4 linked regions of the Anolis sagrei genome follow. The protein of the gene in region 1 interacts with the protein of each later gene in a pairwise test. Links are inferred from orthologs where the notes say so. Each region holds a gene or a part of one and is shown in the gene's direction. Other genes may lie near its edges.

What was found.
Region 2: the proteins of ZGPAT (region 1) and MIPOL1 interact in binary tests that used the Homo sapiens proteins (3 or more experiments, as listed by UniProt). The two-hybrid records come from large-scale screens. The link is inferred for Anolis sagrei from reciprocal best matches to the Homo sapiens genes ZGPAT and MIPOL1.
Region 3: the proteins of ZGPAT (region 1) and AMOTL2 interact in binary tests that used the Homo sapiens proteins (3 or more experiments, as listed by UniProt). The two-hybrid records come from large-scale screens. The link is inferred for Anolis sagrei from reciprocal best matches to the Homo sapiens genes ZGPAT and AMOTL2.
Region 4: the proteins of ZGPAT (region 1) and CDCA7L interact in binary tests that used the Homo sapiens proteins (3 or more experiments, as listed by UniProt). The two-hybrid records come from large-scale screens. The link is inferred for Anolis sagrei from reciprocal best matches to the Homo sapiens genes ZGPAT and CDCA7L.

What each region holds. Positions count from the first base shown.
Region 1 is NC_090024.1:238,897,951-238,906,186, reverse strand, and holds the start of ZGPAT (zinc finger CCCH-type with G patch domain-containing protein), read left to right. Parts: upstream 1-4,609; 5' UTR 4,610-4,701; intron 4,702-8,236. UniProt on the Homo sapiens protein: Transcription repressor that specifically binds the 5'-GGAG[GA]A[GA]A-3' consensus sequence. Represses transcription by recruiting the chromatin multiprotein complex NuRD to target promoters.
Region 2 is NC_090021.1:302,548,327-302,555,998, forward strand, and holds the start of MIPOL1 (mirror-image polydactyly gene 1 protein), read left to right. Parts: upstream 1-4,404; 5' UTR 4,405-4,535; intron 4,536-7,672.
Region 3 is NC_090023.1:225,788,356-225,796,915, forward strand, and holds the start of AMOTL2 (angiomotin-like protein 2), read left to right. Parts: upstream 1-5,197; 5' UTR 5,198-5,450; intron 5,451-8,560. UniProt on the Homo sapiens protein: Regulates the translocation of phosphorylated SRC to peripheral cell-matrix adhesion sites. Required for proper architecture of actin filaments.
Region 4 is NC_090026.1:93,623,241-93,631,271, forward strand, and holds the start of CDCA7L (cell division cycle-associated 7-like protein), read left to right. Parts: upstream 1-4,448; 5' UTR 4,449-4,561; intron 4,562-8,031. UniProt on the Homo sapiens protein: Plays a role in transcriptional regulation as a repressor that inhibits monoamine oxidase A (MAOA) activity and gene expression by binding to the promoter.

The sequences.
Region 1 (8,236 bases):
CTGGCGTTGGCCTTTAAAGCCCTAAACGGTTCCGGCCCAAGCTACCTATCTGACTGCATCTCTGCCTATGAACCCACCAGGACTTTGAGATCTTCCGGGGAGACCCTGCTCTCGATCCCGCCTGCTTCTCAAGCTCGGCTGGCGGGGACGAGAGATAGGGCCTTCTCGGTGGTGGCTCCTCGGCTGTGGAACGCCCTTCCTACAGACATTAGACTAGCACCATCTCTAATGGTATTCCGCAAAAAGGTGAAGACCTGGATGTATGTGCAGGCGTTTGAGTAATTTAGTGCAATCTGGTAATGGAACATAGGAATGGAACAATGGACAACGAACCTGGACTACGCTTGGATGATGAGAAGATTGGGTACGGTTGTTTTTTGTAATAATTGTGCATTGTAATTGCTTATTGGTAATTTATGGATAATGTGTTAAGTCAATTGTTATATGTTGTATGGAACCACTGCTGTTTCTACTGTTTTTACTGTTTGTGAACCGCTGTGAGTCGCCTTCGGGCTTGAGATACAGCGGTATATAAGCAAAGTAAATAAATAAATAAATAAATATATCCAAGCCTTCTCCCAAAATAAGATCCCAACACACTTTACTCACAACTGCCATTCAAACTTGAGTGAAAACAGAAACCTTAACTAATGTAGTTGTTTCCAGATTAAGATGGAAACTAGTATTTAATGTAGCCTAGCTGCTTGTAAACAGAAGGTGGATGGAGAGCAGAGGGGGAGCCTGCATACCATAAATACTGATAGAGAATTGTTAATTAACTACTGTATATACTCAAGTATAAGCATAGTTTTTCAGCCCCTTTTTCAGCCTGAAAAAGCTTCCCTCGGCTTATATTCGAGTCAAGATTATTTATTATCTTACTCTATTATTAGTATGATTTTTATTACATTTATTAATTTACTCTATTATTATTACTACTATTTTATTACGTTTATTATTTTTCTCTATTTATTATTATTATTATTACATTTATTATTTTCTCTATTTGTTATTATTATTACACTTATTATTTTACTCTATTATTGTTTTGATTACATTTATTACATTTATTTATTTATTTACTGTATTTGTATACCGCCTTTCTCAGCCCATAGGCGACTCAAGGCAGTTAACAGGGTAAAATTCAATGCTTACAATATCATAAATACAATTAGAAGCATAACATATAATAAAAATTAACATATCAATAACATATAAATTTATAGTGTATCCTTGTTAAAAACATTGTCCGGTCTCATTGTTGCCATTTATTATTTTATTCTTACATTTATTATTTTACTTTATTATTATTGTTATTATTATGATACATTTAGATTATTCTACTCTGTTTTTTTAAAATATTGGTAGCCAGATTTTGTTCATTTTCATGGTTTCTTCCTTTCTGTTGAAATTGTCTACATCCTTGTGGATTTCAATGGCTTCTCTGTGTAGTCTGACATGGTGGTTGTGAGAGTGGTCCAGCATTTCTGTGTTCTCAAATAATATGCTGTGTCCAGGTTGGTTCATCAGGTGCTCTGCTATGGCTGACTACACAGAGAAGCCATTGAAATCCACAAGAAGCATGTGGACAATTTCAACAGAAAGGAGGAAACCATGAAAATGAACAAAATCTGGCTACCGGTATTAAAAAAAACTCTAAAATTACAACAGCAAAACAACAGAGCCAGACTACTAACGGGAGCGGGGTACAGGGAGCATACTACTCCTCTGTTGCGCCAGCTCCACTGGCTGCCAGTCAGCTTCCGAGCACAATTCAAAGTGCTGGTCTTAACCTATAAAGCCCTAAACGACTCCAGCCCAATTTACCTGTCCAAACGTATCCTCCCCTAGGAGCCACCAAGATTGCTAAGATCGTCTGGAGGGGCCCTGCTCTCAATCCCACCGGCCTCACAGGCGCGGCTGGTGGGGACGAGAGACAGGGCCTTCTCGGTGGTGGCCCCTCGACTCTGGAACTCCCTTCCACTGGAGATCAGAACTGACCCTTCTATCTTAACGTTCAGGAAACAGGTGAAAACTTGGCTTTGGGGATTGGCATTCGACGAATGAGCCATGATCCTGTGATATGGATGGATGACGACGAATAATGACTTTTGATGACGACTGACCCCTGTAATTATATGATTGTATTTTGCTATTTTAATGTTTTAGTGTGATTTAGAAAATGATGTTTTAATGACTGTCTGTAATATTGATGTTGGAAACTGGCCTGAGTCCGTCGAACAGAGGTGAGAAGACCGGTATACAAAACTGCTAAATAAATAATAAATAAATAATAATCACCTCTCAACAAAAGATTGCCCCAGGCACTGCCAGGCCATCAAATGCTAATCAAGGTGGTCAGTTGAAACATTCACACCTAGCTCCAACAGACAAGAGTCCTTTGTCCCCACCCTGGTCATTCCACAGATATATAAACCCATTTTCCTAGTTCCAACTACCTCTGAGGATGCTTGCCATAGATGCAGGCGAAACGTCAGGAGAGAATGCCTCTAGAACATGGCAACCTATTATTATTGTAATTTATCTATTATTATTATTATAATAGTGCAGAGTGCACCTTTTATGAGATTCACCTCACAGCAAAACCTTATACTTTTAACTTTATTTTTATAAATTATACTAGCTGTCCCTTGCCACGTGTTGCTGTGGCCCAGTCTGGAGATCTGGAAAATAAAGTAATGAGAAAGTGTTGGTTTCTAATATATGTAATTCCTTGATGCTTGTGAGTAAACAGTATTTCTTGTTGTTTCTTTGTCAGTGTTGATGGGGAGAGTGTCTGGTTTGCCTACTCTGGAATATGCAACATATCATAGTCCTTCTTTAAGGGTCTCTTTCAAATCTGTGATACTATATCTGTGTGTGTGAGAGAGAGAATCATATCTATCTATGTATATTTATGTCTGGATGGCTCTTTGTCAGGAGGGCTCTGATTACATTTTCTTGCCCTGGTGAAGAGAGTTGGACTGGATGGCCTTAAGTAATTTCTGTTGGTCATGGGGGTTCTGTGTGGGAAGATTGCCCCATTTCTGTTGTTTGTGGGTTTCAGAATGCTCCTTAATTGTAGTGAACTATAAATCCCAGTAACTGCAAATCCCAAATGTCAAGGTCTATTTCCTCCAAACTCCATCTGTGTGCATATTTAGGCATATGGAATTTTTGCGTCAAGTTTGGTCCAGATCCATCATTGTTTGAGTCCACAGTGCTCTCTGGATGTAGGTGAACTACAACTCCCAAACTCAAGGTCAATGCCCACCAAACCCTTCCAGTGTGTTTTGTTGGTCATGGAAGTCCTGCATGCCATGTTTGGTTCAATTCTATCATTGGTGGAGTTCAGAATGCTCTTTGATTATAGGTGAACTATAAATCCCAGTAAGTACAAATCCTAAATGTCAAGGTCTATTTCCCACAAACTCCATCTGTGTTCATATTTGGGCATATTGCATATTCGTGCCAGGTTTGATCCAGATCCATCATTGTTTGAGTCCACAGTGCTCTCTGGATGTAGGTGAACTACAACTCCCAAACTCAAGGTCAATGCCCACCAAACCCTTCCAGTGTGTTGGTCATGGAAGTCCTGTATGCCATGTTTGGTTCAATTGTATCATTGGTGGAGTTCATAATGCTCTTTGATTGTAGGTGAACTATAAATCCCAACAAGTACAACTCCCAAATGTCAAGGTCTATTTTCCCCAAACTCCATCTGTGTTTATATCTGGGCAGATTGAGTATTTGTGCCAGGTTTGGTCCAGGTCCATCACTGTTTGAGTCCACAGTGCTCTCTAGATGTAGGTGAACTACAACTCCCAAACTCAACATCAATGCCCATCAAACCTTTCTAGTGTTGTCTGTTGGTCAGGGGAGTCCTGTGTGTCAAGTGTGGTTCAATTCCATCATTGATGGAGTTCAGAATGCTCTTTGATTGTAGGTGAATTATAAATCCCAGCAACTACAACTTCCAAATGACAAAACCATAATGTTTTGAGTGATGGTCACTCCTTGTGTAGTGAGACGTTTTGTTGCCAAATTTGGTGTGATTTCGTTCATTGATTCTTTTGTTTTTAAGGTACTCATTATGCACAGAGCATTTTTATATATACAAATAGATATATTGTATTAATTTCCCATAAAATGCAGCTATATTTCCTATTAAAAGAATAACAACACATAAGCACACCAAACAGTTCTCAAGCATCCTCTAATTCTCCCTTCCCTTTTACAAAAATACTTTTAAAACATAAAATATATATTAAATAGAGTAAGAACAGCCCTGAGGCCTTGAAGAAGGAGACAAACTCACCCCAGGCCAAGCTCTCTCAGGCTGCTTCCCCTTTAGAACGCAGAGCATCCCGGGAAATGGAGTCCCCGCCCTGCCCGACGTCCCTTAGGCACGCCTTCCCCTTCGCCTCGAAAGAAACTACCCTTCCCGAAATGCACCGCGCCGCCTTGACGCTTCTCCCCGCTTGGCTCCTTGCGGCCATGAAGAACCACAGAGAGGGAAAGGCTAGAGGGGGCTTTAACGTAATCCAAGATGGCGGCAAACGCTCGGTTAAGGAAGCTTCCTGCTTTGTGGGGACTTGTCTAGCAAAGCGGAAGTGGCCGTGTTTGTGTGCCAGTGGAGGCCGGAAGAGGAGGATGGTGGCTGAGGGATGCTGAGAAAGGAAAAGAGAGAAGTTCTGCTGAGTTGAGTTGCTCTTGGTGGCCTTTGGAGTAATTGATATATCTATTATTAATGCATAATATGTAACATATAACACATATATTTATATTATATATATTATATATTGTAATAATATATACAGTAATAGATATATAATATATTATATATTATATATATAATCTTAGATATATAATATATAATAATATTATCTATATTATTAGATATATTAGACAGTAATAGCTATATAATATTGTATATATTTATATATTACTATATTATATATTATTATAATAATATTATATACAGTAATAAGATATATAATATATATTATATATATAATCTTATATATATAATATATATCTAATAATGTTAAATTTAATTTATCTATATTATTAGATATATTAGACAGTAATAGATATATTATATATATTATATATATATTATATATATAATCATAGATATATAATATCTAATAATATTATATATAATTTTATCTATATTATTAGATATATTAGGCAGTAATAAATATATAATATTATATATATTTATATATTAATATATGTTATATATTATAATAATATTATATACAGTAATAGATATATAATATATTATATATTATATATATTATATATATAATCTTAGATATATAATATATATCTAATAATATTATATATAATTTATCTATATTATTAGATATATTGGACAGTAATAGATATATAATGTTATATATCTATAATCTTAGATATACATAATATATACTTAATAATATTATATATAATTTTATCTATTGTTGTTGTTCATTCGTTCAGTCATCTCCGACTCTTCGTGACCTCATGGACCAGCCCACGCCAGAGCTCCCTGTCGGCCGTCACCACCCCCAGCTCCTTCAAGGTCAGTCCAGTCACTTCAAGGATGCCATCCATCCATCTTGCCCTTGGTCGGCCCCTCTTCCTTTGACCTTCCACTTTCCCCAGCATCATTGTCTTCTCCAAGCTTTCCTGTCTCCTCATGATGTGGCCAAAGGACTTCAACTTTGTCTCTAGTCTCCTTCCCTCCAATGAGCAGCCGGGCTTTATTTCCTGGAGGATGGACTGGTTGGATCTTCTCGCAGTCCAAGGCACTCTCAGCACTTTCCTCCAACACCACAGCTCAAAAGCATCTCTCTTCCTTCGCTCAGCCTTCCCTAAGGTCCAGATCTCACATCCGTAGGTTACTACAGGGAATACCATGGCTTTGACTAGGCGGATCTTTGTTGCCAGTCTGATGTCTCTACTCTTCACTATTTTATCGAGACTGGACATTGCTCTCCTCCCAAGAAGTAAGCGTCTTCTGATTTCCTGGCTACAGTCTGCATCTGCAGTAATCTTTGCACCTAGAAATACAAAGTCTGTCACGGCCTCCACGGTTTCTCCCTCTATTTTCCAGTTGTCAATCATTCTTGTTGCCATAATCTTGGTTTTTTTGATGTTTAGCTGCAACCCGGCTTTTGCGCTTTCTTCTTTCACCTTGATTAGAAGGCTCCTCAGCTCCTCCTCGCTTTCGGCCATCAGAGTGGTGTCATCTGCATATCTGAGGTTGTTAATGTTTCTTCCACCAATTTTCACCCCAGCTTTGCATTCATCCAGCCCCGCACATCACATGATGTGTTCTGCATACAAGTTAAAAAGGTTGGGTGAGAGGATGCAGCCTTGCCGTACGCCTTTCCCAATCTTGAACCAGTCTGTTGTTCCGTGGTCAGTTCTGACTGTTGCTACTTGGTCCTTGTACAGATTCCTCAGGAGAGAGACAAGGTGGCTTGGTATGCCCATCCCACCAAGAACTTGCCACAATTTATTATGATCCACACAGTCAAAGGCTTTAGAATAGTCAATGAAGCAGAAGTAGATGTTTTTCTGAAACTCCCTGCCTTTCTCCATTATCCAGCGGATATTGGCAATCTGGTCTCTCGTTCCTCTGCCTTTTCTAAACCCAGCTTGAACGTCTGGCCACTCTCGCTCCATGTCTGTCTGGAGTCTTCCTTGCAGGATCTTGAGCATTACCTTACTGGCATGAGAAATAAGGGCCACTGACGGAAGTCTCTGATGTCTCTACTCTTTACTATTTTATTGAGATTGAACATTGCTCTCTCCCAAGAAGTAAGCGTCTTCTGATTTCCTGGCCACAGTCTGCATCTGCAGTAATCTTTGCACCTAGAAATGCAAAGTCTGTCACGGCCTCCACCTTCTTCTCCCTCTATTTTCCAGTTGTCAATCATTCTTGTTGCCATAATCTTGGTTTTTTTTTAATGTTTAGCTGCAACCCAGCTTTTGCGCTTTCTTCTTTCACCTTGGTTAGAAGGCTCCCCAGCTCCTCCTCGCTTTCGGCCATCAAAGTGGTGTCATCTGCATATCTGAGGTTGTTAATGTTTCCTCCAGCAATTTTCACCCCAGCCTTGCATTCATCAAGCCCCGCACATCCTCGCATGATGTGTTCTGCATACAAGTTGAAAAGGTTGGGTGAGAGGATGCAGCCTTGCCGTACGCCTTTCCCAATCTTGAACCAGTCTGTTGTTCCGTGGTCAGTTCTGACTGTTGCTACTTGGTCCTTATACAGATTCCTCAGGAGAGAGGGAAGGGGGCTTGGGATGCCCATCCCACCAAGAACTTGCCACAGTTTATTATGATCTACACAGTCAAAGGCTTTAGAACAGTCAATGAAGCTGAAAGAGATGTTTTTCTGAAACTCCCTGCCTTTCTCCATTATCCAGCGGATATTGGCAATCTGGTCTCTCGTTCCTCTGCCTTTTCTAAACCCAGCTTGTACATCTGGCAACTCTCTCTCCATGTATTGCTGGAGTCTTCCTTGCAGGATCTTGAGCATTACCTTACTGGCATGAGAAATAAGGGCCACCGTACGGAAGTTGGAGCAGTCTTTCGCATTTCCCTTTTTTGGTATGGGGATATAAGTTGATTTTTTCCAGTCTGATGGCCATTCTTGTGTTTTCCATATTTGCTGGCATATGGCATGCATCACCTTGACAGCATCATCTTTTAAGATTTTAAACAGTTCAGCTGGGATCCCGTCATCTCCTGCTGCCTTATTGTTAGCAATGCTTCTTAAGGCCCATTCCACCTCACTCAGATATATATTAGATAATATATATCTAATAATATTATATATAATTTTATCTATATTATTAGATATATTAGACAGTAATAGATAGATAATATACATTTATATATATATATATATATATATATATATATATATATATATAACAATAATAATATATACAGTAATATATATAATATGTATCTAATAAAATTATATATAATATTATCTATATTATTAGATATATTAGACAGTAAGAAATATATAATATATATTATATATATAATCTTAGATATATAATATATATCTAATAATATTATATATAATTTTATCTATGCTATTAGATATATTAGACAGTAATAGATATATAATATTACATATATTTATATATTAATATATTATATATTATAATAATATTATATACAGTAATAGATATATAATATATTATATATATAATCTTAGATATAT
Region 2 (7,672 bases), on another chromosome or scaffold:
TCTAGTTTCTGATAGAGAACATATGTCATCCAGTAGTCACCATCTGCTCGCTCACCAAAAACCATATTTAATAAACCTCGGCATTATAAGAGGCTTTCACAAGATCAGCCGCTCTCATTGCAATGTTGTAGTAATGGTGAGGTTGCGGACCATATTTTAGTTCTGGCAGGACCACTGGTGTTCCACGGACCACAGATTGGGAACCACTGATCTAACTTCAACAGGCCTGTTCAGGTCTTGCAGACTCAGACCTATTGCTTCTCTCATTAAGTTTATCCATCTGAAATGTTGTCTTCCTCTTTTCCTACTGCTCTCCACATCTGCAAACATTATACTATGTAATAAAATTGATTTCTTTTCTGTTTCTGGTTTGAAAGTGTTATTTCCTGTTTAATTGTGCAGTAGTTTGAAAGTAGTTGTTATACTCTAGAAGCTTTGTTTTTGTGGCTGCCATAAACTATGTTGAATTGGCTGAGACTATTAGATATTCATTGAAAGTTACAGCAAAACATGCTGCAGGATGTCCCGCAAAGTTTTTGCAGTTTAATAAGCTTTCCCCATGTTTTTATGATAGAACCAAGTGGGAAATGACATTTATAACCCAGGAACAAAAACCGTGTTACATTATCACCGTGTTACATTTTCTTCTTATATGTCCAAAGTACAACAGTCTCCATTTAATCATCTTGGCAGTCTACAGTGTCTGCAGAACTCTTTTCCAGCACTTCACCTCAAATAAGTTGATTTTCTTCCAATTTGCTTTTGTTGTTGTTTTGTTTTGGGGTTTTGTTTTGTTTTGCTGTCCAGCTTTCACAACCATACATAGAAACGGGGCATACAACGACATGGACCATTCTAACTTTAGCATTCATGATATATCTCAACACTTTAGAATCTTGTCTAGTTTTTTCAAAACTGCCCTTCCAAACCTTTGTCATTTTCGGATTTTTTGACCACAATCTCAACTCTGATTAATGATTGAACCAAGTACGGGAAATCTTTAACTTTTTCAATGTCTACTTTAAAGTTATGTAAATCATTCATGGTCATTATATTTTGTTTTCTTAACGTTCAACTGTAAACCCGCTTCTGCACTTTCTACCTTGACTATTCAGTAATCATTCAATGTCTTGGTATTTTGGTGTCACTTGAATATTGTTGGTGCTCCTTCCTCCAATGTTTTTTTTCCCCTCTCAGTCTAATTGGCCCCCAAAACCCACTAAATCAGTGCCCAGTGGTGCCCAGATGTTTTGGCCTTCAACTCCCAGAAATCCTAACTGGTGGTAAATGGCCTGGGATTTCTGGGAGTTGGAGGCCAAAACATCTGAGGACCCACAGGTTGAGAACCACTGCAAATGAATTCAGAGAAGTCACACTCTCTCAACCTCAGAGGAAAGCAAGGGGCTACCGAAATCAAATCCTTTACATAATTTTGGGCCTTCAAGTCATTTCTGATTCATGGTGAACCATATTGGGGTTTCCTTGGCAGAATTTGATCCAAGGAGTATTTGCCCGTACTTCCCTCCAAAGCTGAGAGAGAGTGACTTTCCCAAAGCCACTCAGTATGCTTCCATGGCCAAACAGGACTTCAAACCCCAATCCAACACTCAAGCAACAACACAATTGTGGTGAATGACTTAACAGCGAGGCTTCGGGTTGCTCTGTATGGCAATCAATTTTGGGTTGAGCATCCATTATGCAGAATTTCAAATTCTGAAATAGTCCATGGATTTTTGCTCTGATGGTATAGGGTACACAAATAGTCTCACATACAAAATTATTGATATGGTGTATAAAATTACCTTAAAGCTATTTGCATAGTTATATGGCACATGAATGAATTTCGTGTTTAGCCACAAGTCTCATCCACATATCTTATTCTGTATATGCAAGTACTGTATTCCAAAATCCCCAAAAATCCAAACTATGAACTAATTCTGTTCCCAAGCATTTCAAATAATGGATAGTCAACTTATAATTAGAGAAAGGGCGTAGATATGGCCCTACCATTATAAAGAGCAGGTTTCAATGGGATGGATATGAAATGAGTTTTCAAAAGTTTTTTTCCCTCTCTTCCGCCTAGTTTAAGTAGATGCCAGCTAGGGTTGCATCTGCACTGTAGCAGGGATACAGTTTGGCACTACTTCTAACTGCCATGGCACAATCCTGTGGAAAGTTGTAGTTTGGCAAAGACCAGTACTCATAGACCTTGTAAAACTATAACTCTCAGGATTCTTTAATATTGAGCCTTGGGAGCTAAAGTGGTCTCAAACTCCATAAATGCTCCAGTGGAGACGTACCTTGGATTTTCAAGCTGATTAAAGAGTTAATGGGTTGCTGTGAGTTTTCCGGGCTGCATGGCCATGTTCCAGAAGCATTCTCTCCTGACGTTTCGCCTGCACCTATGGCAGGCATCCTCAGAAGTTGTGAAGTCTCAGAGACACTGACTTCTCAGAGCTTGTGACCTCACTGGGTTGCTGTGAGTTTTCTGGGCTGTATGGCCATGTTCCAGAAGCATTCTCTCCTGACGTTTCGCCTGCACCTATGCAGGCGAAACGTCAGGAGAGAATGCTTCTGGAACATGGCCATACAACCCAGAAAACTCACAGCAACCCAGTGATTCTGGCCATGAAAGTCTTCGACAACATAAGGAGTTAATCCCCTTTACTATGCACCACCTCTTCCTCCTAACTTCTATGAGTTAATCAAACTCCTCCCCCCTTTTCGAACACTCCCAAACAACACTCAGTCTTCGCCCACCAATGAGGTTCTTCTGTCCCGCCTCCATCGTTTGATTGACATCTAGGGCCAGCGACTGGATGACAGTTCCAAGCCTGTTGGTCACGCCTCCTGCGTGAATGTTTGTTGTGCCAGAATGAGCACAGAGTGTGGAAATAGTAGAGCACCAAGAGCCGTTGAGCTTCCGGGTTGCTTATTCATTTCGTCCCAAGGTATACCTATAAGATGACCCTTGAGAAAGCCAGCCTTTCAGCAATGACCGGGCCTAGACTCATCTTAGAAACTAGAGGAAGCTGTAAATATATAAAGGGAAAAGGGAATTTATATGGAAACATTAAAAAGAGTTTTCTAATATGAACACAATAAAGAATACTCAAATATTATGATAGCCAACCAGGCAATGGTAATACTGAGAAGTGGAGATGAGCCCAATCTGCAATGCAGTAGACTCTCAGTTAACTGGCACCCATGGGGCTATGTAGATACCGGATAGGTGTAGTTTCTGGTTGCTTGAGAGCTACTATTAAAAATGGGCCTAGTATAGTATACTTCATACCAGAAATTTTGTATTGATATTAATATTGAAATACAGTAGTTGAAAGCAAATAAAGACAAACTTAATTTAAACTTCCATTTCTACTAAAATTGGTTTAATTTTAATGTATTATTTCTTTGCTTTTGTAGGTTGCTTGAGTTCTGGTTGAGAGTTTCCCGTATAAACAATGGGATGAACTACATCAACCACAAGCCCAAACTGAATCCCAGTTGCATGTCAAACTATATTAACTCTGTATTGTTGAAAGGCTTTCGTGGCCAGAATCACTGGGTTGTGGTAGGTTTTTCGGGCTGTATGGCCATGTTCTAGAAGCATTCTCTCCTGACGTTTCGCCTACAACTGTGGCAGGCATCCTCAAAAGTTGTGAGGTCTGTTGGAAACTAGAACAATTGGGTTTATATATCTGTGGAAAGTCCAGTGTGGGAGAAAGAACTCTTGTCTGTTGGAGCTAGGTGTAATTGTTTCAATTGGCCACCTTGATTAGCATTTGATGGCCTGACGGTTTTTAGGTGTAACTTGTTACTGCCTGGGAAAATCCTTTGTTGAGAGGTGATTAGGTGTTCCTGTTTGTTTCTTGTCTGGAGTTTTGTTCTTTGTTTACTGTTATAATTTTATATTTTATATTAACTCTACAGTGTAACTGCACCCTTGGCCTAACATGCAACCCACACAGAAGATGCATCTACACCAGTGGTTCCCAACCTGGGGTCCCCAGATGTTTTTGGCCTACAATTCCCAGAAATCCTAACAGCTGGTAAACTAGCTTGGATTTCTGGGAGTTGTAGGCCAAAAACATCTGGGGACCCAAGGTTGAGAAGCACTGATCTACACAGTCTGAATTAATGCAGTTTGACACCACTTTAACTGCCAGGTCTCAATGCTATGGGATCCTGGGCGTTGTGGCTTGAGAAGGCTCCAGCAGAGAAGGCAAGATAACTTTTAAAACTACAACTTCTGTGGTTTCATAGCATTGACCCATGGCAGTTAAAGTGGTGTCAAACTGCATTAATGCTATAGTGTAGAGAGGCACCCGTGGGTTCTCGAATGAGGAGTGTCTCCACCCAGCCTTTCCCTCGGGGGAGAGGGGAGGTGTCGCAAGGGCGCCGGAAGTGGACAGCGTAGAGGCGAGTCTACAAATGAATGAAGCTCAGTCGCCCTAGCCCTTTGGGGGTCGCGAGCCCAGCGGTGCCGCTTCCTTCGCCTCACGCGCGCAACCCGGCCGACTGCGCGAGGCAAATAGGTAACTGCAGCCGCCTTTCTAACGGGACGGAATTCCTTTTGGGAGGGGTAGGAGGAGGGGGAAAAGAACTGCAACACGCATGCGCACGGAGTGGCTAGGAAGTTCCCTCTTAAGCATTCATTACCAGGGCAATCTCTGATTTCCTCTCCTCTGGTAGAATGAATGCAGTTTGATACCAAGTCAAGGGCCATGGCTCAATGCTATGGAATCTGTAGTTGTGCAAGGGCTTCAGCCTCCCCTGGTGCCTTGGCAAAACTACAACTCCCAGGGCTCCTTAGCTTTGACCCATGACGGTTCAAAGTAGTGCCAAACTGCATTCATTCTACAACAGGCATGGGCAAACTTTGGCTAAGCAGATGAGGGGCAAAAAGAAAGGGCCTGAGGCTGTTAGGAATTGTGGGAGTTGTAGTCCAAAACAACTGGAGGGGCGAAGTTTGCCCATGCCTGTTCTACAGTGTAAGCTGAGTGTTTGGGGACTGTGGAGGGGTTTGGGAAGCATCAGAAGAGGATAATAAAAGGTGTTCCCGCTTGCACTGCCTTCCATGTATTAGGGCACCTTTGAGATTAACTGTTGAATGAATGCATTTTGATACTATTTTAACTCAATTCCATAACTCAAGGCTATGGAATCCTTAGAGTTGTAATCCTACAAGGCCATTAGTCTTCTCTACCAAAGGATGACCACAAACCCAGAATTCTGTAACACAGAGCCATGTGGTGTCAAACTGTGTTAATTCTACAGTGGAGATGCACTCAAGGAAAACATTGCTAGGGAGGAGGCACGACATTCCAAAGCAGAGTCCATTGGTCACCTCTGGACCCCACTACCAAAAGGTGCTGGTGCTCTTAACAGCATTGATATAATGTTATATTCTTATGAGTTGCAACCCCAGTATATTCCTCTTTTGACTTTTCTTTTTGTGCTGTTTTGAATTTGAATATAGAGTGCAATTGCAAAACATTTCCAGGTGGTAGGCATTAACTCTGATCAGATTTAGAGAAGAGGATCAAAAGCAAGGCCTCCTGAAAACAGGGAAGGTTGTAATCCTATGCACGCTAATATGAAAGTAAACTATTAAATTTAGTGGGGCAAACTGTCAAATAGATATGTATGGTGGCCAGTTACTATAAGTTTGTATTTATGTGTTTGTTTACTGTTTGGTTTGATTTGTTTTGTTTCTATTGTTTATTGTGGTATTAAATGTTTTCCATCCTTTTTGGGAAATTGCCCTGAGGATCCCCTCCCCCGGGAGATAGGACAGGTTATAAATAAAGTTTTATTATTATATTATAGTATATTATTATTATTATTATTAGTAGTAGTAGTAAAGGTAAAAGTTTCCCCTGACATTAAGTCCAGTCATGCCCGACTCTGGGGGGTGGTGCTCATCTCCATTTCTAAGCCGAAGAGCCAGCACTGTCCATAGACACCTCCAAGGCCATGTAGCTAGTATGACTACATGGAGCACTGTTACCTTCCCGCAAAAGTGGTTCCCATTGATCTACTCACTTTGCATGTTTTCAAACTGCTAGGTTGGGAGAAAGTGGGCCTAACAACGGGAGCTCACCCTGCTCCCCGAATTTGATTTGCCAACCTTTCGGTCAGCAAGATCAGCAGCTCAGAGGTGTAACCCGCTGCACCAGTGGGGGGGGGGCATTATTATTATAGTGCAAGACAAATGGAAAAGGATGGAAGACAGAAGATCTGCCAGAATCCTTTATTTTTATAACATATAGGACAAACATGCTACTAAGTTGTCACAACCTAATTGGTTCTGACTCCTAGTCTTTTTAAATATTACTATTAAATTGGTTCTGACTTCTAGTCTTTTTTAATATTATTGTATTATTACTGGGAGGTGGTGCTCATCTCCATTTCTAAGCCAAAGAGCCAGTGTTGTCCGTAGACACCTCCACGGCCGGCATGACTGCCTGGAGCATCGTTACCTTCCTGCAGAAGTGGTACCTATTGATCTACTCACATTTGCATGTTCTCGAACTGCTAGGTTGACAAAAGCTGGGCCTAACAGCGAGAGCCTACCCTGCTCCCTGGATTCAAACTTCCAACCTTTCAGTCAGCAAGTTCAGCAGCTCAGCGGTTTAACCCGCTGTGCTACCAGGAGGCCCATTATTATTATAGTGCAAGAGAAATAGAAAGGGATAGCAGACAAAAGATCTGCCAGTAGCCTTTATTTTTTTAACATATAAGACAAACATGCTACTAAGTTGTCACAACCTCATTGGTTCTGACTTCTGGTCTCTTAAATATTTTTATTATTTATTTGTGGCCACCTCTCCTGAAGGCAGGGTACAGTACAGCTAAAGTACATTACCATATAGGACTGAGTGATAAAAGGTTGGAAATTTCAAATCTAATAATAATATTTGTGACTACCAAACTAAAGTAAGATATTTGACTTTTCTCTTTTCCATGCCTCCTTCTGAATTACTTTGTAAATAAGCCAAGTTTTGTTGTGAGTATATGTAAATCTATGAATAAGAGAGAGAAAGATTGTGTTTCTCTCTTAGCTCCCCTAAAAATAAGTTTTAGGGTGACACTGTTTTTTTTAAAAAAAACTTTAGCCGAGACCCAGTCTATCGATCTTTGTCACTGCTGGCTTTGGGATATAATCATAACATTCAGTGCTGCTGGACCTTTTCAGATATCCCAGGATTTGCATTCTGTGGCCCTATCTACACTGACCATTTAATGCAGTTTCAAAATAGCATTTAAGAATGCTCTTCTGCTGTGCAAATGATACCATGGAACCAGTTTGAGGGTCAGATGATAATTACCCAAATAACAGAGCACTGGGGTGCATTGAGGGCTTTCTTTCTTTTGTGAGAGTTTATTATTTGGTCGCCACATTTTGAACTTAGCTTCAAACTGCATTAAATGGCTAGTGTAGATGGAACCCCAGTACTACTACTCACAACGAGCAGAAAAAGTGAGAAACCTGTGCACAGAATGTTCCCTGTGATATTACATAAATTGTCATGATAGTTAGTGATCCTATATTGTGTTCCATTAATATAATATGGTTATATGGATTTCAGTGGCAGGTATAGAATGAATTGTCCATAAATGAAGTAAATTTGCATACAGGTAGTGATTGCTTGAGAAAGTCAGTGTGGAA
Region 3 (8,560 bases), on another chromosome or scaffold:
GCCCACTCGACAATATTAAGAGCTTGTAACCTGCCCAGCACTGAAAGTAGTTTGATAAACATTCCCTCTCCTTATGTAATATTAATGTCAAGTACATTTGTTGAGAAGTAAAAACTCAATGTTTCAGTCAATGGTTTGTTTCAACCCACTTGTCATGCCACCTCCACTGGCTGTCAGTCTGCTGTCAAGCACAATTCAAAGTGTTGGCTTTAGTCTACAAAGCCCTAAATGGTTCTGGCTCAGCTTACCTGTGGCCCAGTCTTCTGTGTGCCCAGGGGGTAAGTCTCTCATTTGGTATCAGCCATTGGTTGAGGTTCTGGGTTTGAGCCTGCCACTTTTGGACTCTCGCTTGCTGAGGTGTTCCAGTGAGTGTCTCTGTAGATCTTAGAAAACTATTTCTTGATTTAAGTCATTGATGTGCTGGCTGATACCCAAACAAGGGATGAGCTGGAGATGTCACTGCTTCTGGAGTAAGAGAATCAACCGTCTACGAAGATGTTGCCCAGGGGACACCTGGATGTCTTGCAATCCTGCAAGGAGGCTTCTCGGAAGGCGCTGAACAGACTGCGCTCTGGCACCACGAGATGCAGAGCCAATCTTAAGAAATGGGGCTACAAAGTGGAATCCACGACATGCGAGCATGGAGAAGAGCAAACCACTTACCACCTGCTGCAATGCAACCTGAGCCCTGCTACATGCAGAATGGAGGACCTTCTTGCAGCAACACCAGAGGCACTCCAAGTGGCCAGATACTGGTCAAAGGACATTTAATCAACTACCAAGCTTGCAAATTTTGTGTTTTGTATGTTTGTTTGTTTGTTTTGTTCTGTTAGAAATGTAATACAATTGTCTGGTTGCCCCTGACACGATAAATAAATAAACTTATCTGTCCTAACGTATCTCCCCCTATGAACCATCTCGGAAATTAAGATCATCTGGGAGGCCCTGCTCATGGTCCCGACTCCTTCACAGGTGTGATTGGTGGGAACAAGAGACAGGGCCTTCTCAGTGGTAGCCCTTCGGCTATGGAACTCCCCCCCCCCCCCAGTGACATTAGATCAGCCCCCTCCCGCCTAGCCTTCAGAAGAAAGGTAAAAACTTGGCCGTGGGATCAGGCCTTCAGAGAATAGTGCACTGCAATTAACAGATTTGGAATATATGGAATGACTGTGGAACACCTTAGACTACAACTATGGATGGTGTGATTTTAATATGGAATTGAATGTTTTAAAATGTTTAATATGTTTTAAGTTTAATCTAATTTAATTTTAATTTTTTTGAATTGTCAAGGCCCAAGGCCACTGGGAGCAGGAGAGGAGGCAGGACATGAGAGGAGCCTCCCACAAGGATGTTTTAAAAAATCAAAAAAAATCTGGGTGTCCCTTGTGCAACATCCTTGAAGACAGTCAATTCTCTCATACCAGAAATGACTTGCAGATTCTCAAGTCGTTCCTTACACACACCCAAATCATATTTACAGGAGCTCCCGGTGGCGCAGTGGGTTAAATCCTTGTTCCGGCAGGACTGATGACTTGAAGATTGAGTTGCTGACCTGCAGGTTGCCGGTTCGAATCCAACCCGGGGAGGGAGCGGATGAGCTCCCTCTGTCAGCTCCAGCTCCCCATGCAGGGACATGAGAGAAGCCTCCCAAAAGGATGGTAAAACATCAAAACATCCGGGCCTCCCCTGGACAACATCCTTGAAGACAGCCAATCCTCTCACACCAGAAGTGATTTGCAGTTTCTCAAGTCGCCCTGACACTCACACACAAAAACAGGGTCTTATTTGATGTGTAAGATAAAGATATTAAGACTATTTCCAAGACTTTTGTCATTTCTTGTTACATTGGTGTGATATATTGGTGTCCCGAAAAATTTGGAAAACTCTGCTCTACCCAATAACTGTGTAAACTGGCCAGGTTGTCCGAATGCCCAATCACCTTCTCCCAAAGCAGTTACTCTATTCCGAACTCAAGAATGGAAAATGAAATGGCCCTTGAGCGATCTAACCACAATTGCTGCACAATTTGAAAAGGCACAAATGGGAGGCAAAAGGGAGAAACGTGCCAAGAGAAAGGCACGTCAAGCCTACCCTGACCAGAACCTCCTTCGGTCTGGAAACCGATGTCCTCACTGCAGGAGAACATGCGGATCAAGAATAGGGCTCCACAGACACCTATGGACCCACCACCAAGACACATCTGGAAAACCATCATCCTAAAGCTAAGAAAGATCGCCTAAGTAATTATAATTATATTATATATATTATATTATTTATTATAATTATTATTGTTGTTGTTTTATTTATACTTTGTTTATTTATATTTATATTTTACTAGCTGTACCCGGCACACGTTGCGGTACTCAACCTTCCCTCCCTCTTTCTCTTCTTTCTTTCTCTCCTTCCCTCCCTCTTTCTTTCCTTCCCTCTTTTTCTTTACCTTCTTATTTCTTCCTTTTCTAACTGTTTCTTTTCTCGCTTCCTTTGCTCTTTGGTTCCATCCTTCCTGGTCTCTTTCCTTCCTTCTTTCCCTCCCTCTTTCTTTCTTTTGTTCCTTCTCTCCTTCCTCCCCCTTTCACTTTTTTATTTCCTTCTCTCCTTCCTTCCTTCTCTACCTTTCTCTTTCCTTCTCTCCTTCTCTCCCTCTTTCTCTCCCTCCTGCTCTCCTTCCTTCCTTCTCTATCCTTCTTTCTTTCCTTCTTTCTCTCCTTCCCTTCTTTCCTTCCTTCCCCCTTTCTGTGTATGTATTTTGTGTGTGTATATGCATATGTGTGTATATATGTGTGTCTGTGTATATATATAAGTGGTTTTGCACATGTAATGTATTTGGGGGGTGGCTTTTTAAGTCCCTTCTGCTGTGTTTCTCAGTGTTTTTATGAGTGATGGTCACTTGTTCGTCTGTTAGGGGTGTAGTGTCCAAATTTGGTGTCAATTCGTCCAGTGGTTTTTGAGTTCTGTTAATCCCACAAACAAATATTACATTTTTATTTATATAGACTAACCATCCCCTGCCACACGTTTCTGTGGCCCAGTTTGGTGATCTGGAAAATAAGTGTTGGTTTCTAATATATGTAATTTCTTTATGTTTCTGGGTAAACAGCATTTCTTGTTGTTTCTTTGTCAGTGTTGATGTAGAGATTATCTGGTTTGCCTACTCTGGAACATGCAACATATTATTGTCCTTTAGGGGGTCCCTTTCAAATCTATGATACTATATCTCTCTGTGTGTGAATCATATCTATTTCTATCTATGGCTGGATGGCTCTTTGCCCTGGTGAAGAGAGTTGAACTGGATGGCCTTAAGTATTTTCTGTTGGTCATGGGGGTTCTGTGTGGGAAGTTTAGCCCAATTCTATTGCTGGTGGGATTCAGAATGCTCCTTGATTGTAGATGAACTATAAATCCTAGTAACTACAACTCCCAAATGTCAAGGTCTATTTCCCCCAAACTCAGTCTGTGTTCATATTTGGGCATATGGAATATTTGTGCCAAGCTGGGTCCAGATCCATCATTGTTTGAGTCCACAGTGCTCTCTGGATATAGGTGAATTATAACTCCCAAACTCAAAGTCAATGCCCACTAAAACCTTCTAGTGTTTCTGTTGGTCATGAGAGTCTTGTGTGCCATGTTTGGTTCAATTCCATAATTGGTGGAGTTCAAAATGCTCTTGGATTGTAGGTGAACTATAAATCCCAGCAACTACAACTCCCAAATGACAAAATCATTTTTTTTAGTGAAGGACATACATTGGATTGTTAGGTGTCTTGTGTCCAAATTTGGAGTTAATTCCCTCAGTGGTTTTTGAGTTCTGTTAATCCCACAAACGAACATTACATTTTTATTTATATAGACTAGCCGCCCCCTGCCATGCGTTGCTGTGGCCCACATGGAGGTTCTGTGTGGGAGGTTTGGCCCAATTCTATCGTTGGTGGGGTTCAGAATGCTCTTTGATTGTAGGTGAACTATAAATCCCAGCAACTACCACTCCCAAATGTCAAGATTCTATTTTCCCCAAACTCTACCAGTGTTCACATTTGGGCATATCAAGTATTTGTGTAGAGTTTGGTCCAGATCCATCATTGTTTGAGCGATCTCTGGATGTAGGTGAACTACAACTCCAAAACCAAAGGACACTGCCCACGAAACCGTTCCAGTATTTTCTGTTGGTCATGGGAATTCTGTGTGTCAAGTTTGGTTCAAATCGTTGGTGGGGTTCAGAATGCTCTGTGATTGTAGGTGAACTATAAATCCCAGCAACTCCCAAATGACAAAATCATTTTTTGAGTGAAGGACATACATTGGGTTGTTAAGTGTCTTGTGTCCAAATTTGGTGTCAATTGGCCCACTGGTTTTTGAGTTCTGTTAATCCCACAAACGAACATTACATTTTTATTTATATAGACTAGCCACCCCGTCACGCGTTGCTGTGGCCCAGTCTGTGCACATGTGTTTTGTGTGTGTATATATGTGTGTATATATTTGTGTATGTGGTTTTGCACATGCATTGTAATGTAATGTTTATTATTTAGCTTTTTAAGTCCCTTCTGCAGTGTTTTTCAGTGTTTTTATGAGTGATGGTCACTGGTTGGTTTGATATGTGTCTTGTGTCCAAATTTGGTGTCAATTCGTCCAGTGGTTTTTGAGTTCTGTTAATCCCACAAACGAACATTACATTTTTATTTATCTATAAGATTATTATATTTATATTTATGGTTACCTTGTAACCCTACTTTCCAGATAACCCTCGCACATTACCAAGCCTTTTGTCATTTCTTGTTACATTGGCCTGATACATCTACGTGTCCCGAAAAGTGTGGAAAGCTCTGCTGTACCCAATAGCTGTGTAGAAGCAGGAATGCCCACAACGGGGGTTTTAAGAGTGGGGTCTCTCTCGAAAGCGGGTCCCAGGCGAGTGGGGCGAGGGCAGGGGAGCGTGGCGAGCGGGGAGGCGTCTTGGCGACCTTGCCGCGCGCCTCCTGCCGGGCTGTGGGCCTGGGCAAGGTCATGCTTTGCAGCGAGCTGCCTGCTTTTGATCCCGGGGGAAACCTGAAAACTCTCGCATTCCTGGCATAGCAGCGCCGGGCGCCGCCTCTCGCGCAACCCAGCCTCCCTGGCTCTCCTTGCAGCTGGAGGAGGAGGAGGAGGAGGAAAGAGGGAGGGAGGGAGGGACACCATTGAAAGTCGCCTTCCTTCCAGCAGGGGGGAAAAGGAGGAGGGAGAGGAGGCAGGCAAGCTGGTCACATTCACACACACAGAGAGAGGCAACCTCGCATTCACCAAGGCGCACTGCTCAAGGAGCGCACGCACGCACAGCACTCTCCGCCCGGGCTTTGTGGCAACTGGTCGTCCTCTCCCCCGCAAACCAGAGGAAAAGCACCGAGTTTGCGCTTTTGGGAGGCCCGGGACTACGTTGGGAGAAGGCAAGGCTGTGCTGCTGCTAGTATGGTCCGGTGAGTATTCCCCTCACAGCGGAGCCTTCATTCATGTCTTCCCAAAATGTGTGTGTATGCGCCCATTCTTCCCCAGCTTATTGCAGCCTTTGCAGTTCTTGGAGGGCTCACTCAACCCAAGAAACTCGCAATGTGGTGCCTTCTTTAAAAGCGAATCGTATCGTCAGTGGTTGTCGAAGGCTTTCATGGCCAGAATCGCCGGGTTGTTGTGAGATTCCTGGGCTGTCTGGCCATGTTCCAGAAGCATTCTCTCCTGACGTTTCGCCTTCATCGATGGCAGGCATCCTCAGAGGTTGTGAGGCCTCACAACCTCTGAGGATGTCTGCCATCGACGCAGGCGAAACGTCAGGAGAGAATGCTTCTGGAACATGGCCAGACATCTTAGGAAATTCATATAACAACTCTACAATGGTTGGGTTGTTGTAGGTTTTTTGGGCCATATGGCCATGCTCTGGAAGCCTTCTCTCCTGACGTTTCGCCTGCATCTATGGCAGGCATGCTATGGTTCATAGGCTGAGTAAATCCATGTCTTCTTGAAGCCTGGGTGTTATGCACTCTTCAGCAGTCCTGATTATTCTTTGGAGGCTAAATACATCTGTGTCTTTTGGGGTCGAAATGTCTTGCACTCTTTAACAGTTCATACTAGCCTTGATTCTTTGAAGGCGAAGGCAAAGCATATCTATTGGAGTCAGAATGTGATGCCCCCTTTAAGAGCCAAGAGGGATGATTCTTTGGGAGCAAAAAGTCAGATCTGCACTGAATTTATGATATGGATTGACACTGACCACATTATTTATTGAGTTGTTTATTTATATCCCGCTTTATCTCTCAAAGTGGCTCACAATCCAAAATATTGCAACTTAAAATATACAAATATACAATAGTAAAACAGTATATCATTATTTATTATTATCATATCAGTAGTACTATATTTAATGTATTAGTATTATATGACAATATTGTTACTATATACTACTATATTGCATCATGTATTATTAGTATATTGTGTTGCATTAAAATATAATATGTATCTATTTCATATATTAGTATTATTTTACAATATTATTACTCCATATTATATTGCATTACAATATTATTATATGTATATGTATATATATATATATATTAGTATTCTTATATTACACTATTATTACTATATATTACTATATTATTAGTATTATATTGCTTTACAGTATTATTATATGTATATATATTAGTATTATTATATTACTATATTATTACTCTATATTACTATGTTTTATTAGTATTATATTGTATTGCATTACAATATTTTAATGTCATATGTATATATTAGTATTATATTGCAATGTTATTACTATATATTACTATATTGTATTAATATTGTATTGCATTATAATAATATTATTACTATATATTACTATTACTATATTGTATTATTAGTATTATATTGTGTTACATTCTAATATTATTAATATTATATGTATATATAATATATTATATTATTAGCATATAACAATATTAGTAATATATATATATATATATATAATATTATTAACTTGTACTATACCACTATATTGCAATATTATTACTAATATTAGGAATAATGTGTTGTTTGGCAGTGCAGGTCCAGCCATAGTCAAGCCATGCCTGAGGTCAAAATGTTATGTACTCATTGAGAAGCAATAGTAGCCTTTAGTGATTCTTGGAAGGCCAAGTCACGCCATGGTGAAGTGGGATGGTTGCACTCTTGGTTTTCGGGAGAGGTTTCTTCAATCCCTTTGGCTGGCTCTGGTTCTTGCCCGCTTTCTTTGACTGGGTTGTTCTTGAGAAAGTTGGGCAAGCAAGGCCTCAATGTACAGCTGGAGTGAGCGAGGGTTGCTTTGAACTCCTTCCTGTGCCATTCTTTGCTTAATTCAATGTGCTTGTTTGGAGGTGTCGGTTGTTGAGTTGGGGGTTCAGTTGTGAGTATGCATCCATCTATACATTGTGCAAGCATGCTTTGTGGTTATCTGGAGATATGTCTAGTTTTGGCTTTTGTCTCTTCCCGGCTGCTGCTGCTTCTCATAGCTGCGCGAGCCCTGGCTTCTCACTTCGCAGGAATGTTAATTGCAATCCAAACCCGGATGATGTCAGCGCAGAGCTATGTGGAAAACAAAGAGCGGCGGCTGCAAGCGAGAAGTAGGCAAGCAGGCAGGCGGGCAGCAGGCGGCAAGGCAGAGGGACCAGGCGGAGGGCTCTCCTGCTCTCTTGCCTTGGGCTTAGAAAGACTGCTTTGGGAAAGTCAGCTGGAAAGAGGAGAAGGAGGGATGCTTCCCTTGGCAGCCATTGTAACTAAGGGTGCCTCTGCACCAGCCATGGGCAAACTTTGGTCCTCCAGGTGTTTTGGACTTCAACTCAATGAAGTTCAACAGGGACAAATGAAAGATACAGAATGGGAATGCCTGGCTGTACAGCAGTCCATGTGGAAAAGATCTGTTGCACCATGAGCCAACAACATGGTGCAACAGCTAAGAAAGCCCATGAGATTTTGGCCTGCATAAATCAGAACATAAATCATGCCACCCTTCTGTTCTGCCTTGCTCAGACCACACCTGGAATTACACTGTGTCCAATTCTGGGCACCACACTTGAAGGGAGATGTTGGTATGTGTCCAGAGGAGGGCGAGTCTGGAAAACAAGCCCTATGAGGAGCAGCTTAAAGAGCTGGGCATGTTTAGCCTGCAGAAGAGAAGGCTGAGAGGAGGCATGATGAGGGCCATGTATGTAAGGGAAAGTCATAGGGAGGCAGGAGCAAGCTTGCTTTCTGCTGCCATGGAGACTAGGACGCGGAACAATGGCTTCAAACTACAAGAAAGGAGATTCCACTTGAACATCAGGAAGAACATCCAAATTGTGGGAGCTGTTCAGCAGTGGAACTCTCTAACCCGGAGTGTGGTGGAGGCTCCATCTTTGGAGGCTTTTAAACAGAGGCTGGATGGTCATCTGTCATGGATGCTTTGAATGTGATTTTCCTGCTTCTTGGCAGGGGGTTGGACTGGATGGCCCATGAGGTCTCTTCCAACTTAATGATTCCATGATTCTATTAACTCCCACAATTCCTAACCGCTTCAGGCCCTTTCCTTTCCTCA
Region 4 (8,031 bases), on another chromosome or scaffold:
CCCGCTACAGGCCTGCCCCTAGTATTCTGTGGTTTCTGTAATCACCATCGGGGCCTCAAACTGGTTCCAGGATTTTCTATTTTCTTCAATGCCAGTTTGAAAGTGCATTAAATGGTCTGTGCAGATGGGGCCATGGTTTCATTGTGGATTTTTTTCTTCCAGTTTAGCATCCCTTTTCCAGAATTCCAAAATAGGAAATACTCAAAAATCCAAAACTACTCACATGGGTGATTGCAAAAGTGACATCTCTGCTGACAATTCAGAGTACACAAACTTCTGCACTCCATTATAAACAAATTAAACCTTTGCTTTATGTAATGATAAAGGAAATTGGCATGGTGCCCAATATTATGCCTGCTTTTCTTCCTCTATGGTACAATAAACGATAAAGGAGAACAATGACATTCTGTTCAGTCGGAAGCATGTTGTAGTTGGAGACCTGTTGCAACTTACACTTTCCCATGGCAATCCTGTCTTTCACATATATATATAACTGAATGCACAAGGCATTCACTAGGAAGCATAGGGCATTTCAATTTGTGGTGTCAGTTTGTGTATGAAAAATTAACCACAAATGTCAGACAGAGTAAAGATAAAAATCCTGTTAAATAACTCGAGGATATGTAAATTGATTTCAGAAGACACAGACAAAACTAGCGGTGAAATTGATATCCTGTGCAAATAATTTATATATGAAGACAGCATGATACATATTTGTCTCATTAATAAATCAAGACACCCTTCCTGCATATTTAATAGCAACTTGAATGAATGTGGCCAGGTCAATCAGATAAAGTGAAGCAGAGGGGAAACACAACCTAACTGGAATAGGAATGATGGATTCTATAAGTGGATTCTGTTCATATGTTTGATAACAAATAATTCTTCATATACTCACATGTCCTGAAAATGTGGATGAATGTTGTAATAATGCTCACCTGAAATCTACACACTGAGGCAATAAATGGTATGAGGGACATATTGTGAATGTGAAATATGATCTGCCTAAAAAGCAGTAGGGCAGATAATTGTCAAATTCAACAAAGTTTCTAAACCAGAATTTGCATTAAGATTATTATAACTACAAGGACCACAACTGAAATCACTATTAGCAGTATGGTGGAACAAACAAGCACCTTGGTATCTCTATGGATGTCCTGGTCCTCAAACACTCTGTGCTTCGTTCAGAAAAATATATCTTATACTAGGGCGGCTCAACCCATTACGCAAAGTAAGCATTTGCAGTATAGTTGATTTTGCCCAGGGGCATTCTTGAGGCGCTCTTGGGGGAAAATAGACCTTGACATATGCGAGTTGTAGTTACTGGGATGTATAGTTCACCTACAATCAAAGAGCATTCTGAACTCCACCAATGATGGAATTGAACCAAATATGGCACACAGAACTCCCACAACAAACAGAAAATATATATCACTGATTGGTTGGGGGGGGGGGCATCAAAATACTGTTTGCTTACCGTTGAAAATTACTTAGGGCCGCCTCTGTCTTATGCCCATAGCCTGAATGTAATTTTATACAATATTTTAAAAATATTTGTGCATGAAACAAAGTTTGTGTGCACTGAACCATCATATATCAAAGGTGTCACTATCTGTGCCAACCATGTGGACAGTTTTGGTGTATTTTCAATTTCACAGTTGTGGATACATGAAGATCTCATAATGCATTCTAGAAACATGCTTTTATGAAAATTAAAAAAAAATCTCACACATAATGAGCTGTCTGTAAACCTTGAGATAAAACAAACCCGAACAATTGATGAGAAGTGTGATTGCAAATCATATGGCCGTTAAAATATTAAAGGCTGAGAAAACAAAGGACCAAAGATGGAAAGTGAATAGTTGCTGCTTCAAGACAGGTGAAGGTATAAGTAAAATTTAAGATTAATTTAAATTTAATGCAACTATATCTTATAAGATGATGATTATACTGCATTGCAAAAAAGATTCAATCGTGGTTTTTTTCTTTTAAAAAAAACTTACGAGAGGATTTGGAGAGCAGAAAAAAGAGGATTACAGTTCTTCTCAGCAGCAAGTAATCCTTTTAAGGTAGGTATGTCAGTACTCATTGAGAACTGTGGGAAAGTGCTGGCTACTTAAAATGTTTGACAGATTGAGGAAAATGTAATGGCAGGAAGCTGAGATTAAAAATCTTATTATTACAGTGGACCCCCAATTCAGTTAAGGTCCCAATTTTTAAAAAAAAATGAGCTGAGCTTTAGTTTAATATTTCTGATATAGTGTTAAAAATTACTAGGAAAGCAGTATGCATAGTACTTATTCAATGAAGCACATTTACTCCCAGAGAGTGCCCTTATGCTACAATTATATTTTCCTACAATGGACAGATTTGGTCTGCTTTCATATCTGCTAATAGTGTCTTCATGTAGACATTTATTCTGCTCAGAAAACAGCAGTTCAAAAGTGCTTCAGCCCAATTATAGGGTGTATCATAAGTCTCAAGCAGAATTATGGTTATGAATTTCACTGCCTGGTTGAAATTCAAAGGGAGGGGCTGAGCAATCATCAGAAATACTCTCATAGGATGATGAGCAAAGTCAAAGGCTACTCCAGAACCAATAGTTATAAAATATAACCAATGTCAGGTTTCAAGTTGCCGATGAAGAGCACCTAAGGTCTAGCTGTAACGTTATGTCTGAAATGCTGATAAGAGCCTTTTGAGAAGGTAATAATAACACAAAGACAACCAAAGCATTGGGAAAAAAGACTTTGAAGTAATTCAAAAGAGGATTTTTGTCAGTTGCAGAAATTCAGTAAATGCATGGGAAATCCATGGCAGTAAATGGAGAGGTGTTTGTGATACAGCTGGGGCGGTTACAGTTAAATTAATTCCAATAAAATGAAAAAGTCTGCTTCTCTGTTACATAAAGGCAAAAGAAAGGCATTCTAAGCAGCATACATTAAAAAAGGAAACACCAGAGAAAGAATGATCGCATATTAAAAATAAAGGAATTACTGTACAAAAGTATAAAGTTTTGAAAGAAGACAGACCGCAGCAAAGAAGAGGGAGTGGCAAAGCATATAAAACAGCCCTGGGTTTTATACATTTCTTAAGGGAATTTGACAGTGCTCATGTCTTGCACATTTGTATTATAATTCCATTTAATTTATCACAGGGCATTCTATCACAATCATTTGGTTCATGCTCATGGACAGCTATTTAGCTGCATTGAATGGCTCCACCATAATGTTAAAGAGCAGGACAAGCACCAACAGAAAGGCACCTTGAGAACACAAAAGGCTCTTATTTCACAAGGAACTTCTGAGAATTTGCTTACCACCATTATTGCTTTTCTCTTTTGTTTTTTCCAACAAAGCTTACCGTAAATCACACCTGTATGTTTCAACTTTATGGTGTTGCAATGCAAACCGTTATTGATTTTTGTTGTTGTGTTAGGAGTAACTTGAGAAACTGCAAGTTGCTTCTGGTGTGAGAGAATTGGCCACCTGCAAGTTCTGCAGATGATGCCAGACTGTAGCTACCTGCAAGAACGTTGCCCAGGGGACGCCCGAATGTTTTGACCATCCTTGTGGGAGGCTTCCCTCATGTCTCCGCATGAGGAGCTGGAGCTGATAGAGGGAGCTCATCCGCGCTCTCCCCGGATTTGAACCTGCGACCTGTCAGACTTCAGTCCTGTCAGCACAGGGGTTTAACCCATCGCGCCATTGGGAGCTCCTCGTTATTGAAATGACTCAGTGTTAATATTTGTGCACAACCCTTTAACCCTAAGAAAGAATGGAGGAAATCATGAAGTTCTGCAGATGATGCCAGACTGTAGCTACCAACAATTCCTTACCACTGGCAATGGTACCCAGGATTGCTGGGACTTGCAGCTGTATTTGATTATTTATTTACACCAGTGTTTCTCAACCTGGGCGTCGGGAACCCTGGAGGGAGCTAGATGTGAATGTTTCAACTGACCACCTAGATTAGCATTTAATGGCTTGGAAGTGCCTGGGGGGAATCTTTCGTTGGGAGTGATTTGATGTGCCTGATTGTTTACTCTCTGTTGTTTTGCTGTCAATCAGCAATCAAGGTGGTCAGTTGAAACATTCACACTTAGCTGCAGCAATCAGAAGTCCTTTGTCCCACCTTGGTCATTCCACAGATATATAAACCCATTTTCCTATTTCCAACAGCCCTCACTACCTCTGAGGATGCTTGGCATAGATGCAGGCAAAACGTCAGGAGAAAATGCCTCCAGAACATGGCCATATAGCCCAGAAAAACCAACAACAACCCAGTGATTCCGGTCATGAAAGCCTTCGACAATCCACTATCCCTTTTGCAGGACTTTCCCTTGCGTTGCCTTTCCTCTCGCCGCCTGAAGGTGGCGCTGGACCGGCCCGCTTGCTCGCCTTGGCCTGCGCACTCGGAGTGACGCATGCGCGCTCCGGCCGGGGCTCCTCCTGCTTCTCCGCCTCTTCCGCCCCCTCTCGCCACGCTCTCCGCGTCCGGCGGCAAGGAAGCGCTCGTTTGAATTTGGGATCACGCGGTTTGCGCGGAAAAGAAGGCAAAGGTGGGCTTGATCCGGGCTTTTCCGGGGTTTGGGGTCCAGGAAGGCCAAGGAGGGCTTTCTGCCATAGGGACAAAAAAGTTTCTTCTTGTTGGAAAAAGTTGGGTGATTTGGATTTGGCACAAAAGCTGTTTGGAGGGAAGGCGCCTTGCCTTGCCTTGGGTCTTTCTTAGGCGAGGGAGGCTCAGAGGCGGGTTTGGCAGTGCTCTCCTCTGAAATGTAGCCTTGGTGGGCTCCCCTCCAAGCCCTAACCAGGGCTGACCCTGCTTAGCACCCAGCATCAGACTGGGATCTGGTGCCTTTAGGGTCCTTAGGCCTATTGCAAAGTGACAATAATATTCCTCTGAAATATAATTATATATTATATATTACATGTAATATCACTAATAATATTGCAGTATAGTAGAATATAATAATATAGAATACTAATATTGTGCTATGCTAATAATTATAATATATTGTATGTTCAAACAATATTGATATAATATTATAATACAATATAATACTAGTAATAATACAATATAATAATATAATAATGTGTTTTATATTATATGTAGTATTAATATTGTAGTAGAGTGGTATTGTGCAATATTTATTTATTTATTTATTTGAACTTATATGTGTTAACCTATAAAGCCCTAAACGACTCCGGCCCTGTTTACCTCTCCGAACGTATTCTCCCCTATGAACCATCAAGATTACTAAGATCGTCTGGAGAGGCCCTGCTCTCGGTCCCACCGGCCTCGCAAGCGCATCTGGTGGGGACGAGGGACAGGGCCTTCTCAGTGGTGGCCCCTCGACTCTGGAACTCTCTCCCACCGGAGATCAGAACCGCCCCTTCTATCCTGACATTCAGGAAGAAGGTGAAGATGTGGTTATGGAGACAGGCATTCGATGAGTGAGCCAATACCCTGAGATATGGATGGAGGATGATGAACATCGAATTTAGTGGGACGACTGACCATTGTATTTATTGAATGTAATTGCTGTTTTGCTGTTCTAATGTTTTAATGTTTTATTGCAATATGAAGTGTGATGTTTTATTGACTGTATGTATATTATGGTTGGAAACCGGTCTAAGTCCCTCATATATAATACTAATATTGTGCTGTGCTAATAATAATATATTGTATGTACATATAATACTGATCATAATGTAATACAATATCATACTAGTAATACTACAATATAATATAATAATATATTTTATATTACACATACTAATATTGTGCTATGCTAATAATTATAATATATTGTATCTACATATAATATTGATCATAATATTGGGTTGTTGTAGGTTTTTTTGGGCTATATCGCCATATTCTAGAGGCATTTCTCCTGATGTTTTGCCTGCATCTATGGCAAGCATCCTCAGAGGTAGATGCAGGCGAAACGTCAAGAGAAATGACTCTAGAACATGGCGATATAGCCCGAAAAAACCTACAACAACCCAGTGATTCCGACCATGAAAGCCTTCGACAGTAGATCATAATATTGTAATACAATATAATACTAGTAATACTATAATATAATATATGTAGTATTATATGTAGTATTAATAATATGACAGTACAGTGGTATAGTAAAATATAGTAATATATATTACTAATATTTTACTATGCTAATAATTATATTTTATGTACATATAATATTGATCATAATATTGTAATACAATTTAATACTAATAATAACTATATATGCTATATTACATGTAGTGTTACTAATAATATGACAGTAGGTGTATAGTACAATATAGTAATATGTAATACTACTATTGTGCTATGGTAATAATATAATATATTGTTTGTACATATAACTTGTAAGCCCTTTGGGGTGAGAAGGGTGGTATATAAATGTTGTAAATAAATAAATGTTGCTTATGGCATTCATTGGTGGTTTCCCATCCAAGTACTATCCAGGACTGACCCTGCTTAGCATCCAGGATCAGACAGGATCTGGTGCCTTCAGGGTATTTATTTAGTCCTGAACCAAGGAAACTATCACTAGCTTCTAGGGAAAGCTCGAGAGATTTTAGACTTCAGGAGGTGGGGCCAACAAAGAAACAAACAAAAGAATGTGCTTTCGAAATGATTTTCCAGAGGGCAGTTCTGGCAGAGAATTCCTTGCAAAAGTAAGATTGCAGTTGTTTAAGAGTGAAAGAAGCCCGGCCTCCTCTGTGTTTGAGGCCTCCCTGTCTTTTTGTTTTTGGGCTGCAGTGAGTTTTCTGGGCTGCATTGCCATGTTCCAGAAGCATTCTCTCCTGATGTTTCACCCACATCTATGGCAGGCATCCTCAGGTTGTGAGATTTGTTGGAGACTAGGCAAGTGATGTTTATATATCCGTGGAATAATGTCCAGGGTGGGAGAAAGAACTCTTTGTCTGTTTGAGGCAAGTGTGAATGTTGCAGTTGATGCAGTTTGAAGCCTTGCAGCTTCAAAGCCTGGCTACTTCCTGCCAAAATGGGAATTCCAGACAAGAAACAATCAGGGCCAGCTAATCACCTCCCAACAAAGGATTCCCCCCAGGCAGGAAGTGAGAAATCTACCCCTTGGAAGGGAAATTCATTCCTGAAAAGGTTTTTATGGGGAAATGGTCTCCACTGAAGCTTGTATCACCAATCCTTGATTCCACAACAAGCCATTTTTTTTTCAAAAATTGAAAACACTTAAAAATGTACCTGTTTTGACTTACATACAAATTCAACTTAAGAGCAAACCTACAGAACCTACCTGGTTTGCAACTTGGGGACTGCCTATTCAGAAGAGTCTTGTGGCACTTTACAGATTTCTATGGAATGCAACATAGCTGACATTTAAGATATTCTCAAGACTCTTCAGTAACTTTGGTGCAAAATACTAACACTGGGAACCTTAGAAGAGATCTGACATTAAAATAAGAACGGTATTGGTATTGTATTTCTGCTCTTATCTGTGATCTTGCGTTTCTAAGGGTCCTTGTACATTATAGAATTATTACAGTTTGACACTACTTCAACTGCTGTGGCTCAAAGCTAGGGAATTATAACATGGGAGTTGTAGTTTTACAAGCTTTAACTTTCTCCGCCCAACTCCCAGGAATCCATTGCATTGGGCCTAAAAACATGGATTTTTAAGCAGATCGTTGACCTTGAGTAGGCTGAAATGGGCCCATATGAAGTTGACATTTTGGCATTTCATTTGTGATTTGAAGGCAGCTAGTTTTAACTACAGATGGTCTGTGCTTTAAACTGTGTTTTTATTTTATTTGATGTGTTAATAGTGGTTGCTTTTATAAATTATCTGATACTGTTTTTATACTAATGTACTGCTTATGTTATACACAACATCTGTAGTGCCTTGTAAGCTGCCCCGAGTCCCTTTTGAGAAATGGTGGCAGGATATAAATAAAGATAATAATAATTATTATTAAAGTGGAGTCAAACTGCATTAATTCTCCAGTGTAGATACACCCTAAGAGTGGGGCTGGAGAAGTA